Linked DNA regions of Caenorhabditis elegans. The protein of the gene in region 2 interacts with the protein of the main gene of each other region in a biochemical or structural test. Each region holds a gene or a part of one and is shown on either strand. Other genes may lie near its edges. The genes, in order: ced-3 and asp-13.

The links.
Region 1: of the proteins of asp-13 (region 2) and ced-3, one has a biochemical effect on the other in vitro, tested with the Caenorhabditis elegans proteins (one study listed by BioGRID).

Annotation. Positions count from the first base shown.
Region 1 is NC_003282.8:13,196,586-13,206,768, forward strand, and holds ced-3 (Cell death protein 3 subunit p17), read right to left. Parts: upstream 7,553-10,183; 5' UTR 7,482-7,552; coding exon 7,347-7,481; intron 7,284-7,346; coding exon 7,138-7,283; intron 6,860-7,137; coding exon 6,606-6,859; intron 5,418-6,605; coding exon 5,086-5,417; intron 4,174-5,085; coding exon 3,960-4,173; intron 3,906-3,959; coding exon 3,778-3,905; intron 3,705-3,777; exon of another isoform or gene 3,555-3,704; intron 3,424-3,554; coding exon 3,184-3,423; intron 2,708-3,183; coding exon 2,645-2,707; 3' UTR 1,676-2,644; downstream 1-1,675. Other genes in the region: C48D1.1 (Zer-1-like leucine-rich repeats region domain-containing protein), read right to left, coding at 1-97, 447-689, 740-797.
Region 2 is NC_003283.11:8,639,453-8,645,407, reverse strand, and holds asp-13 (Peptidase A1 domain-containing protein), read left to right. Parts: upstream 1-2,214; 5' UTR 2,215-2,217; coding exon 2,218-2,528; intron 2,529-2,593; coding exon 2,594-2,723; intron 2,724-2,874; coding exon 2,875-2,958; intron 2,959-3,005; coding exon 3,006-3,254; intron 3,255-3,300; coding exon 3,301-3,429; intron 3,430-3,478; coding exon 3,479-3,598; intron 3,599-3,641; coding exon 3,642-3,788; 3' UTR 3,789-3,806; downstream 3,807-5,955. Other genes in the region: nssp-59 (Protein quiver), read left to right, coding at 4,064-4,289, 4,340-4,395, 4,450-4,542, 4,592-4,699; acd-4 (DEgenerin Like), read right to left, coding at 4,823-4,963, 5,011-5,175, 5,219-5,364, 5,407-5,498, 5,544-5,697, 5,745-5,816, 5,868-5,955.

The DNA.
Region 1 (10,183 bases), on a different chromosome or scaffold from region 2:
TGATCTTTTTCGATGTGTAAGTACTGAAGATTTTTACGGGTTTCCTCGTTCAGAACAGCTTCCAAAATGCGGACAATATCAACATGACGGGTTTCTTCTAAAAAATTGAGGGATTATTACAGAAATTGATTTTTCTTTGTATAAAAAATGTTCGATGTATAAAGCCTTTTACCAAATATCATTAATTCTTTTAGAACTTTTCCACTACTTCAACGTTTTTTAAAGGTTTTATTAAGATTTTCCATTCGAAATTTCTAATTTTTTTTTGAAAATTCTGTAAATTGAATGGAACAATCGATAACTGAATGGCCTTTATCGTGTATGGAACATATGTTTGCGCGTGACGGTGTTTGCACAAAATACACCGAGGGGCCCAGCCAGAAACCCGTGAAACATCTGATTCTAAACAAAATGAAAAAATGTATCTATTGCTCGTAATAACTTACTTCTTCTAAATATGCACCAACTTTTAGATTTAGAAAAATTTCCAATTTTCAATTCTTTCAACGAGAATTGTTTCAGTTGCCTTGCAGTGTTCTCATCCAGTGTCTGGGGGTGTAGTGTAACTTTTGTTACGTTCAGTTTATGGATGGTTTTTAAATTGAATGGTTTATCTCGATTCATTAAATATGAATAAACAATGTTACTCGATTTGGAATCAAGTTCAAATTCTCTGTTATCGTATGAACCTGTAAAAATACTTTAGTGTAAGATTGAGATAAATCTCCAAAAAACTAACCATTTTGAACGAATTCGGCAATTTTTTGGCAGGCAATGTCATGAAGAGGCTTGGTCATTGTTTGGAATAACCAGAAAATAGAGAAGTGCTATCTTACAGAACGAAAGAGAATGAAAAAACAAGAAAGGGTGAACAATCGAGGATTGCGAGCAAATAGTATGGTCCTATGAACACCTGTCTCTAATGTAGCTCTATCATTGCACCTCGTGGGAATGAGAAAGTGGGAACAGTCATGAATGTTTGAGGTCAGATAAATTTTGAGTTTACATAATATTGTTTCAAAAACTGAAATATGAAATCTGATAAAAATTTCATATATTATAACTTCTAATGACTTCTTGCACTTTGAGAATATAATATAAGGACGTACATTTAGAAAATTATATTACGGGAACAAACAATTCTGAGAATGCGTACTCGGCAACATTTTTGACGCGCAAGCTATCTCGTAGCGAAAACTACAGTAATTATTTTAAGTGACTACTGTACCGCTTGTGTCGATTTACGGTCCCCATTTTCGAAATGAGGGACTTTTTGAATAGTGACAGCAACTTCTCATTTTTCCCTTGGTTATTTCGTATTATTTTCTCATGTTTTGCTTAATTTTAATATTCCATCGACAAATAAATTATTTTAATTCATTTTGAAATTCGAGCCCGTAAATCGATACAAGAGCTACTGTAGTCATTTATAGAATTACTGTAGTTTTCGCTACGAGATATTTTGCGCGTCAAGTATGTTGCACAGTACGCATGCTCAGAATTATATGTTCCCGTAATATTTGTAATCTGGGAGGTTTGAGAAGCTTAAATTCAGCCTTTAATTTTTGTGCACATATTCTTAATCTGTAGTACTCACTAGGGAATTGTCAGAAGCTTGCATATCATATATGTGCGAAATTTTATATTAGCTTGTTTCCTTCTTTAATTGTTGATTATTTTTCACCTTTGTTTTGTTAACACCTTGTTTTCTTTTATCTATGTATACCAATCACACACACACAAACATACGGCGAGAAAAGCAACTATAATAATCTATAAATATATAATTATAATAACAAGCTATATAAATCTCAACATATATAAAACTTATTGGGTGCGCGGAGAGGAGGAATCGAAGAAAAACGAGGGAAATATAATAAACGTACAAGAGTATTTTGGAAGATAGCGGGAAATTTGAAAAAATTGAAATTTTGGAAAATGGGGTTTCAAGTAAATTTGTGTTGCTGAAAACTCGAAAAATCCATTTTCCAATATTATTTACTGGAATTTCGAAAATTTTCAAATTCCTATTAGAAAGCTCGAATGGAATGGGCTATGAGAAAGATCTTTGCTGACCAGAATCGGGATATCACGGCGAAAAAAGAATGCAATTTGAGATGATGGGCGGGAAATGATGGGGGGGACCTACAAAATTTTATACATAATTGGCCAAATGTTCCGAACTTTAAAAGGCCGGGAGGCATTCCGGCACGGGGAGAGATGGGAATGCTATTCGTTAATTCAAATATTAGATTTTTTGTGGCGAAAAAATAGGTTAAAATTAATCGAAATTGATTCCCGGCAAAAATGAATATGGTACGGTAGGTTGGTGGGGTTGGGGTGATGATCTATGAAACTATTTTGTTGATAGAAGCATAGTACATACATATATACTGGGCACAACAACTAATCAAATTCAAAACGAGTTATTAAAATTATTATGCGTTCGAGACACAAACGTCATAATTTTAGATTATCGTAGAGAAATGGAAATGTGTGAAAATGGGAAGAGAAATGATAGAATGATAAAGTGAAATGAGTATAGGATAACAATATACACATGGTTTTAAACTAATTGGGCGAAAGAGAACTGGGGGAGAAGATACAGACAATTATCAATTGGGCAATGAATCACGAGTGAATTTTAGACGGCAGAGTTTCGTGCTTCCGGCCAAAAGTAGAACTTTTTGAGCAGGCGGGATGTCATCTGAAATTTAATTTAAATTTTGGGGAAAAATCTAAAACCGATACCCTTGTTTTCAAGCCGCACAGAAAAAGAGGCGGAGCGTCGTTTTGCAAACTTGCCGCGCGCCAACCGTGTAATACTCGTGGACAACTTTGAATTAATTTTTTAAATGAGTTAACAATTTTTGGCTTAAATGCTTGATGTTGATGTATTTTCGCTATTTTTTTTTACATTTAAAAATCGATAAATTTCGTTGAAAAACTACAAATTTTCGTTTTCAGTAAAATCCAATGGCTAATAAACATTTTTTACTGGAAACCCGATAAATAGTGACTATTTCAAAATTTAACGCAAAAAAATTAGCATAAAATATTCAAAATCAATCATTTTAGCTAAAAACTAAAATTCTAGGTTGACGCGCGGCAGGCTTGCAAAAGGACGCTCTGCCTATTTTTCTGTGCCTTAAAAAGTTAGCAGATCGATTGTTGTTCAAGTACCTCTGGCATCTGTTTCAAAATATTCGATCCCTGTGATGTCTGAAATCCACAAGCGACCTTCTTATTGACTTCAGTCAGCAGCTCAACAACATCCATATCCTTTGCGTGTGTCGAGAACACTTCACAGACGGCTTGAATGAACCATGATCCACGAGCACTGTTTCTCCACGAAACATATTGAGCTGTCGTTGCGTATGCAATCAGAATGTCAGCTTGGCTCGGCTTCTTTCTCCACACTTGCTGCAAAAATTTATTAATTATCATTTAAAAATGTTTACAGGACGGGGCTTTCGCTCCAAAGAATATAAAATAATCGGAATATTTTTCGAAAAAATTGAAAAAATCAATTTTTAATTTTCGAAAAGGCGATTTTTAAATTCCCTCTAAACTGAAAACTGCGACCAATCAGCAATTCACTCCGCCCACTTTCAAACCAATCCGATGAAGTGGGCGGAGATCGACGATGCTGATTGGTTTGTCATTTTATCACAAATTTCGTAATTATATCGCAATTTTTTCGTCGGACTTTCTGGAATAAAAATCTATTTTAGATTTTTTGAAGGAATATTCTCATTCAAGAAATTAAATTGCAACCTGAACTTGCGGCCGCACACATCCAAGAAAATTGAACAATGGCCCGTCTCGATTGTCCCATCCACGACGAAGAAATGCAGGAACTCCGTCGACAGAATCCAAGACTGGGAATCCATTGTCACGACGTTCTGAAAATGAATTTATTTAAAATATTTATATTAAAATTAAAATAAAAAACGAACCGCCTCGACAAGCCTGCACAAAAACGATTTTCGGCTTATTCGCCAGACGGGGAGCATTTGCCGCGTTGAGAAGATCATATATCTCGTGTGTACTAATCGGTATATCATCAACTCCAATAATCACATTCTCTTCTCCGTGTGATAGAATCACGAGTATCGCAGAATCTCCGTGTGATTCGTGTTTGGCAAAGTCTCGAATTGTCAGGAGCATTCCCTGGAAATTAAATATCAGTTTACATTAGGAACAAGGCTGGGAAATTTTTTGGGTTTCTTTTGGTATTTTGACGAAAAATTGATTTTTTGGTTTTTGGGACCAAAAAACCAAAAAAAAAATCGAAATTCGACTTTTTTTTTGAATTTTTTGGCTTTTCGAAGATTTCAATTTTACTTTTTGGTGATTAGGAAGGTTTATTGTCCAATGGTGCAATTTTTGCGACAAAAACTACGGTACCTGGTCTCGACACGACAAATTTTTGGTCAATGCAAATGGGGTGTGCGCCTTTAAGGAGTACTGTAATTTCAAACTCTCGTTGCTGTGGATATTTTTAAAATCGATTTTTCATTCTCTTTTTCTCGATTTGTTAAAAAAAATTTTGAAAAATCTAGAAAAAATGTTATAAAACTTTTCTAAATCCTTCATGATTTTTTCAAATTTTGCAAAAATAAACAAATCGGATGAATAACTTTTGAATTTGAATTGTGACGTTGTTTTGATTTTTATTGCTTTTCCGGAGTGGTTTTTAAAGTTTTTAAAAATACATTTCATATTGAAACACCGTTTGCCAATTTTCACAAATTTTAAATTGTGCATTTTTGGATAATTTTGAAAATTCAGAAAATTGATTTCGTGCTATCAAGTTTTGTATGCGGAAAATTGTCTGAAAATTTACAAACGGTTTTTTACATCAAATATTATAGAAAAACTAAGAAAAAACACATAATGTAGCCGGAAAAAACGAAAATTTCGAAACTAGGTAAATCATTTTCGCGGAAGTTCAAAATTTTGTTTTTTGCAAAATTATACATTTTTGCATTTAACACAAATTGTCGTGTCGAGACCGGGCGCCACATTTTCGGCGCAAAAATGGCAAAAATTTCGCGTTTGGGTAATATAATTTCGCCGTACCCTTCCCGTCAGATTGTCCTTGCAAATAACCGTATAGCCCATGCATCTGAACAAATTGGTAAGATTGTCCTTGTCGGCCTTGGTACCATTCCGTGTTGGCATCTGCTCAAAGTGTTCATTATTTATGATGAGGCACATTCCACGAGGACTCGAGAAGTTTCTGTACATGGTTTTCTCGTCGAAAACACGGCTTATGGTTGGTGCATCGACAAAGTTCATATCCTCTTCATGGAATATGTATTGAGTTGGTCCAGAAGCTTTGCTGAATGAGCGATTACGACTTGAACTGTATCCGAGAGAAGAGCATCCGGTGAATGAAGAGTTGGCGGATGCTGAAATGTGTTGGTTTTAGGATCGATTTTGATACCCAAATTTCCTCTTTTTTGACGTTTCGCACATTTTAATTTCGCAATGTTTCATTCAATTATATCCTCTAGAAATTTTGATTTCCCTTTTAATTTTCTACATTCATGTGATGTAGAAAAATGCAAAAATGTATTTTAATGCATTTTTTCAATTTTCGCAGAATTTTTGATTTTTTTCAGGTGTTTCGCACATATTTTTGCTGACTTTCATTCAAGATATGCTTATTAACATCTATAATTATCAATAAAGGTAATATCTTGAAGAAATTTTGGTTTTCGCTCTAATATTCTCTACTTTTTAAGTTGCTCAACGAAAAAATAATGGGGTTAATCATGTGATGTTGAAAAATACAAAAAATGTATTTTAATACATTTTCCCCCTATTCATTTGTGCAGAAAAGTGTAAAAAAACGCATGCATTTTTTACATTATTCGACATTTTTTTACATCGACCGACATCCCATTTCACATGCTGAAGACGAGAGACGCAGAAAGATGTGTGGTATTTCTCCGCGTCTCTCGTCTTCAGCATGTGAAGTGAGCTGTCGTTCGATGTAAAAAATGTCGAAAAATGCATGCGCTTTTTTACATTTTTCTGCACACATGAATAGGGGAAAATATATAAAAAATGCATTTTTCGTCATCATATGAACAACCACATGATTTTTTCGTTGAGCAATTTCAAAAGTAGAGCATACTAGAACGAAAACCAAAATTTCTACAAGATATTCACATTAATGATAATTATATGTGTTAATAAGCATATCTTGAATGAAAAAAATCAAAAAATCTGCGAAACTTGAAAAAAGCGTTTTGGCACATGTTAGATGATTTTTTTTCAAAATGTTTAAAATTCTTTTCAAAATATCTTGAAGCGAAAACTACTGTAACTCTTTAAAAGAGTACTGTAGCGCTGGTGTCTGTTTACGGAAATAATTTATTAATTGATCAAAAATATCAAAAGAAAACACAAAAATGACAAATTAAAATTCGTTGTCACAATTCGAGCATATATTCGTTTCGAAAATCGAGCCCGTAAATCGACACTACAATAGTCATTTAAAGGGTTACTGTATTTTTCGCTACGAGATATTTTGCGCGTCAAATATGTTGAGTAATGCGCATTCTCAGAATTTAGTGTTCGCATCAACATACAAGGTTGGCTGGGAAATGCGTTGACTGGAGGAGATGAATAATTGTGTCGATCCGATGAATGAAGTGCACGCGATCGAGAACGAGATCTTGCTCTTGAGTAGATATCCTGATAAGAAGTGAATGATGACACTGAAGAGACGCTGTCACGGTGAACTCGGGTCGGTGAAGTGTAGCCGGCGGGGCTCAATGCGCGGCTCCGACGATGGCTTGCCGGTGACATTGGACACTCGAATTCGACAGCATTCGAGTCAACACTGGAAAAAAGGGATATTTGAAGGAGATGTGTGTGTGTGTGTGTGACAAGTATTTTCGGCAAATCTACAAAATGGCCTTTTGCGCCACGAAAATTAGTGTTAAAAAATAAATAATCACTCGAGCTTTCAGTAAATAAAATATATTTCACTTCAAATATTTGGGAAAGTGCATAATTTCCGATTTTCGGAGGAAAAAACCGTGCCGGTGGGTTGCAAAATTACGATCCGCCTCTTTTTCCGTGAGACCCTTGCTTTTGCGCCGAACTTTAAAAACCTACGATCTGGCGAGAGGTTCAAGAACTTCAGCAAGTCCTTCGTGTCCCGTAGAGCGAAGAGCATCATAAAACGCGTCGAACGCCACATCTCCCCGTCGTTGCACTGCTTTCACGATCTCCCGTCTCTTCTCGCGAACCGTTCCACATGACTGCAAAAATATTCTTTATATTATCAATTTTTTTTTAAAATTATTATTCGATTAAAAACTCACATTAATCATATCTCCATTATCACTATTCAACACTTGTTTTGCGATGAGAACTTCGAGAATTTCATCGACTTTTAGATGACTAGAGAACATCATAATGTTCCTCTCTAGCAAGCTCCTTCTATCTTGACGCATCATCTTCGGCTGATGGTTGACCTCTCTACTGACCCGTAGTCAGAGTACGATTTGATTTTCGATTTAGTCTGAAAATGAGTGAAATTATTGGAAAAATAGTGTTTTTTTTTAAACATTGTCCTCAAAATTCAGCTCGATTTGAGTAATTTTTATCGATTTTTTTCCTAGTTTTCGTCAAAAACTCCAACAACTGCACTGAACTACGAAAAAAAAGGTGAAAGTCAGTAAAATCGGAAAATTTTGACCCTCTTGAATTTTTTATCTTGATTTCTGGCGAATTTTGGGGTTTTTTTTTGTTAAAATTGTTTTGAATCAGTTCTCTTTTATTTTCGCAAACATAAAACACAATTTTCAATGAGAAATCGTTATTTTTAATTTGAAAACTGATTTTTAAAATGTTTGTTGTGTTTTTGTTTCTGTTTGTCAGCCTGGAAAATATTAGAAAACTGATTTTAAAAATTTTAACAGAAAAATTCACGAAAATTTTAGTAATTGAATTAAAAATGCAAGGAGAATTTAAAAGTCTATCAAACTTTTTGCGTGCCGAGACCCATTGGAATAAATCCGTGCGCCTTTAAAGAGGAATGCCAAAATCTTGTGAAATTATTACGGAAACACAAAATTCAGAGAATGCGTATTACGCATCATATTTGGCGCGCAAAATATCTCGTAGCTAGAACTACAGTAATCCTTTAAATGACTACCGTAGCGCTTGTGACGATTTACGGGTTGTCAAAATTCGAAAAAAAAAATTATTTTCAAAAATTGAGCCCGTAAATCGACACAAGCGCTACAGTAGTCATTTAAAGAATTACTGTAGTTTTCGCTACGAGATATTTTGCGCGTCAAATATGTTGCGCAGTACGCATTCTCAGAATTTTGTGATTCCTTAATACGATAATGTCGAGCCGATTTAAAAGACTTTACCATTTTTTGTAGTTTTCGGTGCTATTATGATAATTTTACGATAAATTAATACTCAAAAATCGGAATTTTAGCGGAAATATTATAAAAATAAGATGTTAGCACACGAAGAGAAAGTGCTGCGAAGAAATCATAAACATTGAGAAGATATTCTTATGGATTGTATATATTGCGTAACAATTTGGAGAAAGTTTTTGGCCGGTTTATTGCAAATTTCGCGGAAAAAAAAGTTTATGATGGGCTCGTAAGCATGCCGATGAGAAAAGAAAGTGGATTGTAGCAGCAGCAATATGAGTCACCCATCTGGACAGTTCACATTTCTAAACGATAATTGAGACGGAGCAGGTGGCATCACGGAAGAGTGTACCGAAAACAAAACCGGGACAAGTTGAGGATACCAAGGACGACAGGAAAATGATGAAATGTGGTACAAAATGAACCGGGCGTTTACCCTGAAAGCTCCTGATCTCATCTAAGATTCCAACCCCGTCATTTGCCTCCATGCACAAATATAATGCGATTTGGATTGTTTAAAGCATTGAAATTGCGACAAAGAGCTATAAAATCGAAAAGAGCATACCAAATGAGATACACACTGCTTTCCTAAGTGGGTTTCGAAGAACACCGCCAAAGAGGTGATGGAGTGGTGGGGCTAAGGAAGAAGGTGCCGGAGAGGTCAAACATGTGGAAATCTTAGGATTGTTTTTGTTTCACATTAATTGCCCTCGTAAATTTATTTTTGGATTTGAGTATCGAAAATCTATGAGCCATGAACACGGAGCGGTGAGGTAAAGGTAAAGGTTTAAAAGTAGTTTTATTAGTAAACTAATCGTTTTTCACATAAACAGTGGTTTTTTTAAACGAAACAATGCAAAAACCAAGGTTAAATATTATAAAATCGACTTCGAGAATCTCAGAATCTTTCTGGCAACAATAAATCGGCGAGCCTTTTCTTCAATTGATGTAATAATTGCTTAGCAACACGTTCAACAAAAAGAACAAAGAAAAAAACGACAAAAGATGACTGCAAGATAACGGAAAAGGAGGCACAACACACGAATGTTCGAACGTTTGTTTTTGGCGGCTGAGTGTGGAGGTCAATGGAGCGCGTTTGCTCTCACAATTCTTTGAGACGCTGCCGCTCGAGGATGAGCATGAAAAAGTGATAATAGGGATATTAATTCGACAATAAGACGGAAAAATCTAGAAAACTGGACTTTTTTTCTGAAACAAGATTAATTGTGCTAAAACAGTCAAATTTCCTCAGAAATACACTTAATTTATTAATTTATCACCTTATTTCAGATCTCATTTAAGGAAAAATAGTTTTTCGAACAGGGAAGTTAAAAAATCCAGTTTCTATCAAAAAGTCGATATTTTCACTACTCTGGGAAGAAAGCGAAGATTACGAAGAGGATAACCGTAAATTATTGATATTTTATCAAATTTTCAATCATTTAGGCGTAAAAAAGTGAAATTCTGTTGAATAATCGCTTAGAGCTATTGATAAAGCTCAAAAAGAAAGAAAATCGATAAAATTAAAAAGTTTGCAATTCAAATTTGAATTCGTAAATGTCGTGAAGTTCGATGCCTTGGTTGTACGGGTTACTGTAGAAACATCACATTTCACGCAGAATCGCAGTGAGCCAAATTTTAAAAATTGAATTAAAATAAACGTTTTAAATTTTTAATGCAAAGCTTCAATGTTTCTTAAAATTTTAATTTTAATTCTTGTTGATAATATAAATAACACTAATTAGTAACATAAGTAACGCAAGAGC
Region 2 (5,955 bases):
ATCTAACTAGCAGCGGAATGCAAACTATCCAGTGCTTTTTTATGGTGTCAACAAAAATTTTACTGTATGATTTCACAAAGATTTGAAAGCTGGATGCTCCATAAATTTTTGCATGCCACTTTGACACCATTTAGTCATTTTTGTGCATACCTTGAAGGCTTAGCTTATTATGAGTGAACAAGCATCTTAACTATACAGGGCTACTTTCATCAAAACGTCAAATTACTCTTACGACCTTGTCATGAATTTCAGAATTCTGAAATTAATCAAAAGCCGCCGCTGTATTACGCAATTCCAAACTGTTTTCCCAGCCTTCAGAAGTATACCGTCCTGAAGTATACCCAGATCCATAAATTTTTGCATGTCACCTTGTCTTCTTTTCCCAAAAACTTAGCGGGTCGGGGGGTTAGCCACCTTCTTCACACAGGGCAACATTGTCTTTGTCTCCGAGTTGTGTACGTCCCGCGTCCTCTCGTTTTTCGCTCATTCGATTTATTGGGTAAAAGTGCGCGAAAACAGAGAGGAAATGGAGAAGGACCGAGTAGAACAAGTTGGGACAATACGGGGGAGCGACACGCGACGAAACGGTGACATTAGTGATAGATGAGTCTAGATTTGGGAATAGTGTGAGTGATGAAGAGACACAGATATATTTTATGAGAGGGAAAGTGAGGTCGAAGGTTCAAGTTTCCATGGTGCATTTGAGCATAATGGGAAAATGAGGAGAGCGGCAAGAAGTTGTGATACCCTGAAATATTGGTCATGGAGGATTAAAGGGGAGATAAGTATTGAAAAAAAACATATGGAACACTATATGTGTTCAGAAATTTTAATTTGAAAAAAACTAAATTTTAAACTAAATTTAAACTCGAACAGTTTGAGTCAACATATAGTGAATGACAAAAAAACCATTTGGAAGTGGAAAAATATTCAAGTTCAAAAAACGGAAAAGTGCATAACTTTTTTATGGGAATTTTACCTACAAGACAAAAAATCTAATTTTTCAGAATTTGGAAAACTTAAAAAACATAACCGTTATTTTTCTATCCCTACTTTAGTAGTTTAGTGTACTTCTAGGTATCTACTGATGTTCAAAAAATTATTGTAATAGTTAAAGATCTCCATTATGCAAATCACAGCTCATAGTGAAGTATAAAAAGTCATTTAATTACAGTATTCCCATTCATTGGTTAATCAATTCACTTGCTGTCAATGGGAAAACAATTTCAAAAGGTTATCACCGTTTGAATATCGAAACGATCATATTCTTTCTACACTTGTGTGACAATAAATCGTGTCAACCAGACAATGTGGAGCATTTGAGGTTGAAGTTTTGATAGGCTCGTATAAAGCTAGGGAACCTTTTCAGATATTTGTAGTTATAATATCGTTAAAGGGAATGTGCGTGGTGTTTGTAAAATCGTAATAATCACATAAATACAATCAACTCAAAATGATGAAACCAGCAAAAATAGAAACAAGAAAATGCGATTCAAGTGAATAGGGCAACATTCCTCTTCATCTCATTCTTCAACTAAATTTAATTTGGCTTCCAGTTTTTTCTCTATTCTTTTCCGTCTTCTTTCGTTCCTTTTCCAATTGCACTTTTTGTACCATAGGGACCCTCCGTCTTCGTTTTTTTCTGCAAACAAAAGCGCCACCCTAACTATCATTCCGCTTTACAAAGGAAATGAGAAGAACGAACTGGGAGAGCCCAGGGTGGCCTTCTTCTTCGTTTGGTTTTTTAAGAGTCTCGGGTCCCGAGGGTCCATTCAAAATTGAGAACATGCTGTTTTGTAGAAAACGAAAGGCGACATTCCGCAAGATTTGGGTGGTCTCCGACGAGAGACGTTTAGCCCGATTGCCTGATTTATGACCATGTGCACTTTTACAGACTTGTTTAGTGTCAATATGAAAAACGAATGTGCAAAACTGGTTGATGAAAGGCAAGCGTGAACTAGTACGTGTGAATCTGACATCTAAAGTTGAATTATAAAAAACTCGTAGGGAAAATACGGTAATCCATTTATCAGACTCAATTCAAATAAATATTCTGAAACACAGTATCAGAGTTCATAATCTGATGTTGCAATGTTATCAGTGAATTCAATTAGTTAGAATGTTTCGCCGATAACCCTATTTAGTTTTCTTTCCCATTTCAGCGGAGAATAATTATTTTTTCATTCAGTGTTTCAATTTATTTTTATTTTTCAGAAAATGGGTATTATTTCCATTATTTTCCTTCTTATTGGGTCTTCGACGGCTGCAGTCCTCGAACATCAATTAATATGGAAAGAATCTAGAATGATTGAAATGATCAGAAATGGAGAATATCCTGCCTATTTGGAGTACCGCGACCGTATGGTTGCTAGTAGATCATCTAACCTGGCTACTGTGGTTCAAAGCACAACAGATTATGTGTACTATGAGTACATGGGAAATATTACTGTTGGAACTCCTGATCAAAACTTTATTGTTGTATTAGATACCGGATCAGCCAATCTCTTAATTCCAGGAACTAATTGCACGTTAGTATTCCTGTTTTGAAATTGAATAACGTTTGTGATCACAATTTTTCGAAAGTTTTTTACAGAACGTACTGTGAGAAAAAGAGATTATTTAATGAAAAAGCTTCATCCACATATATTGCAACCAACCGCCCATGGCAGATCAAATATGCTAGCGGTGATGCCTACGGGACATTGGGAATTGACACTGTTAAGGTTATTTGATGGAAATTCTGAAATTTTACATATTTAAATGCATAAATAAATTGTAAAAAAGTATTAACAAAAATTTAATTAGGAGTAAATTCGTGTCTGGTACTGTGAATAACTTTTCTTGGAGTCATCTAGGATAAAATGGAATTTTCAGATCGGTGGATCAGGAGAAGCACAACTCGCTATTCCAAGATCATACCTTGGTGTTGCAGACACTGTCGGATCAGATTTCAAATGGGTTCGTTTTTTTCAAGTTCCTTCACTTTCACTATTTTGCATTTGCAGAGCCCAAAAGAGGGAATCTTTGGTCTTGCATTTACTGCATTAGCTGTTGACAACATTACCCCTCCAATCATCAACGCTATCAATCAAGGACTACTTGATCAGCCACTTTTCACTACATGGTTTGGTCAGAGAGGTGCTCCTGGAACTTCTGCAAGTGGTGCATTCACTTATGGAGGATTGGATAAAAACCATTGTGGGCCAGTTATTGGATATGCGGAACTAACTAATGCTAGACATTTTCAGTTCCAGGTATTTCTGGAGAGTTTTGATTTTTGTATTTTTTCTGAATTTCTAGGCAACCGGATTTTCTCTTGGCTCATATGTATCCACAACCACATATGAGGTAATCACCGATACCGCTACTTCATTTCTATGTGGACCTCAAGCTGCAATTGACAACTTGGCTAAAGCTGCAGGAGCTACTGTAAGCATGTACTTTCTGTGATTGCGTTAAAAATTACAAATTGTTTCAGTGGGACCCAACAAATCAAGTATTTAACATTCCTTGTGATGCCGACGCGGGGCCAATTAAGATGAAAATTGGCCAATTCAACTATGTTATTCGAGCAAATAACTACATTTTGAAGATTGATGTAAGTTTTGCTACATATCAAAAATTATGTGAATAATTTACAGACAAACTCCTGCCTTTTCGCTGCAATTCCACAAAACTATGCTGGTTTCGGACCTTCATGGATTCTCGGTGGACCATTCATGAGACAATATTGTAATGTACATGATATCGGACAGAAACGTGTTGGATTCTGTTTATCTCTTGCATAGACTCTTTCATAAATACATACATTCATATTCTCGTATTCTGATGTTTCTTTTGTTTTTGTGGTTCCTTGTCCTGTGATTTCTGCTATTTTCGTATTTTGTGGAAAATGAAAAGATGATGGACCATCGAAATGAGAGGAGGAAACGTAGTTTGTACACATGAATAAGTCACTTGACGCGTATCCATGGAGGTCTTTGTCTATAACGTTTTCCTTTAAATTTGGAGCGTCTCAAGTTCTTGGCTCATTCTGATTTTTTGACTCATTCACTTCCTCGAAATGCCTTCTAATTTTTACTTTTTCTTTTTCGCATTCCTAATTTTTCTTATAACTCCAACATACCCGCTCCAATGCCATCAATGCGGAGGTCAGGAAAACATGTCTAAGCTAACAAAGAAAATGTTCACTGAACTGAATATCAGCCCTGATAAGTACTACGGAGATTGTAAAGCAACGTCCGGTGCCGATGTTTGTACCAATGGAACATTTTGTATCAAAAGAGCAAGTATGATTGTTGTTTTTTTTTACGAATCACTGGTACCATTCTCTTTTTAGAAATCCACAGAGTTGGCTTCAATAGTATCAATTTCAAATGGACTTCATACACAAAGGTATCTAATTTTTTTATAAACTTGTAAAAGTATGCAACTGATCCTAACTTTCAGGGATGCGCTAGCGTTCGCGAAGACAACAATCAGACTCCATCAAACGGATGTTTTGACTTGAACCAAAAGGTCAAGAAAACTGGATATACTACTGTAAGTTGCGCTATTTTTACAGCACAGTTTTCAAACTTTATGTTTGTAGGAGCGCCTCGATTGCTATTGTGACAAAGACTTCTGCAACTCCTCGACGGCCGTTTCAATGACTTTCACCACAGTATTTGTGTTCTTCTGGTTCTACAAATCAATTTGAGAATGATGTTAGAAATATTTCTTGTTGAAAAATATTGGGAATTAGTAATTTATGTAGCTTGAGAATAATTGCTTGGGTTTCTGCTTTTCACTATAAATTCAAAATTTGAGATCAATGAATCTTTCATAGTTTTATAATAATTCCCAGATCATTATTTTCGTCTTCATCCTCTTCTTCAAAATCTTCACAACATTCCGATATTCTTGGAAGACTAATCGCGGAAGGACGTTGTAGGGGTTTTTCAAAGTCAATAGCGAGTTGAATCTAAACAAAATAAAAATTAATTAACTATTGAGCCTTTTTATATTCACCACATTGTCCAAATGGCTATCCGAAAGTTGGCTCGAGCTTCTGTACCAGTAATCTTCATCATCTAAACTTTCAATATCCAGAAATTTCAAATTTGCAGCTGAGCTTCTTCGTGATCTAGATATTTCAGCTTCTTGTACAGCTTCTTCGATATTTCTTTCCTTTCTCTGAAATGAAATTTGTAATTGGAAGAATTTTCTAGAATTCTACCTTTTCCGACATTTTCTTCTCAAAAAGATATTGCCTTCGCTTACTTGATACAGCGATCCACGAGATTTTCGTGAAGTATAGAATTAGCTCAGTTAAAGAAACAACTGACATTCCAAACCACAAACCGTTCAAACCAAATATTTTATCTAAAATTCAGAAATTGTTTCATTAGTAATCAAAAAACTCACTGAAAGTATTCAAAATAGTTGTTGCTTTAACTTGAGAGTATGAAGTGTAGAACAATTCCATAAAATGAATATTTATTATTGCTATATTTTGTCTGAAAGTAAGACTCGTTGAGCCAGAATTTGTTTTCAAATCACACCTAATGTAACTCGCGCTGCGATTGGTTTCTCTTGTAAGCCATTTCATTGAATTATAATTAAATCCGTCACCATAAGATGTGTATGAGCTATAGCTAGTTTTTTGGCAAGCCAAATGGCATTCCGCACAAAACGGAAAATCTAGGGATACTGTGCCTGTAAATGGGCACAAAAGTTAATTTTAGTTTTATAAAGCTACTTACCATTACTATCCGATTTGGTCATTTTTTCCATCATACAAATTACTTCTTCATATGGAAGGCAAACCTGCGTGTCTAAAAACTAAAAACTTCTCGTATTTAATGGAAAAATATTTGGGAACCTACTGTTATCAATATTATAACTGTATGGAGAACATCCGCATAGTTTCTTGAAATAATTGGAAACACATAGAGCCTGACACGCGGATGAGGA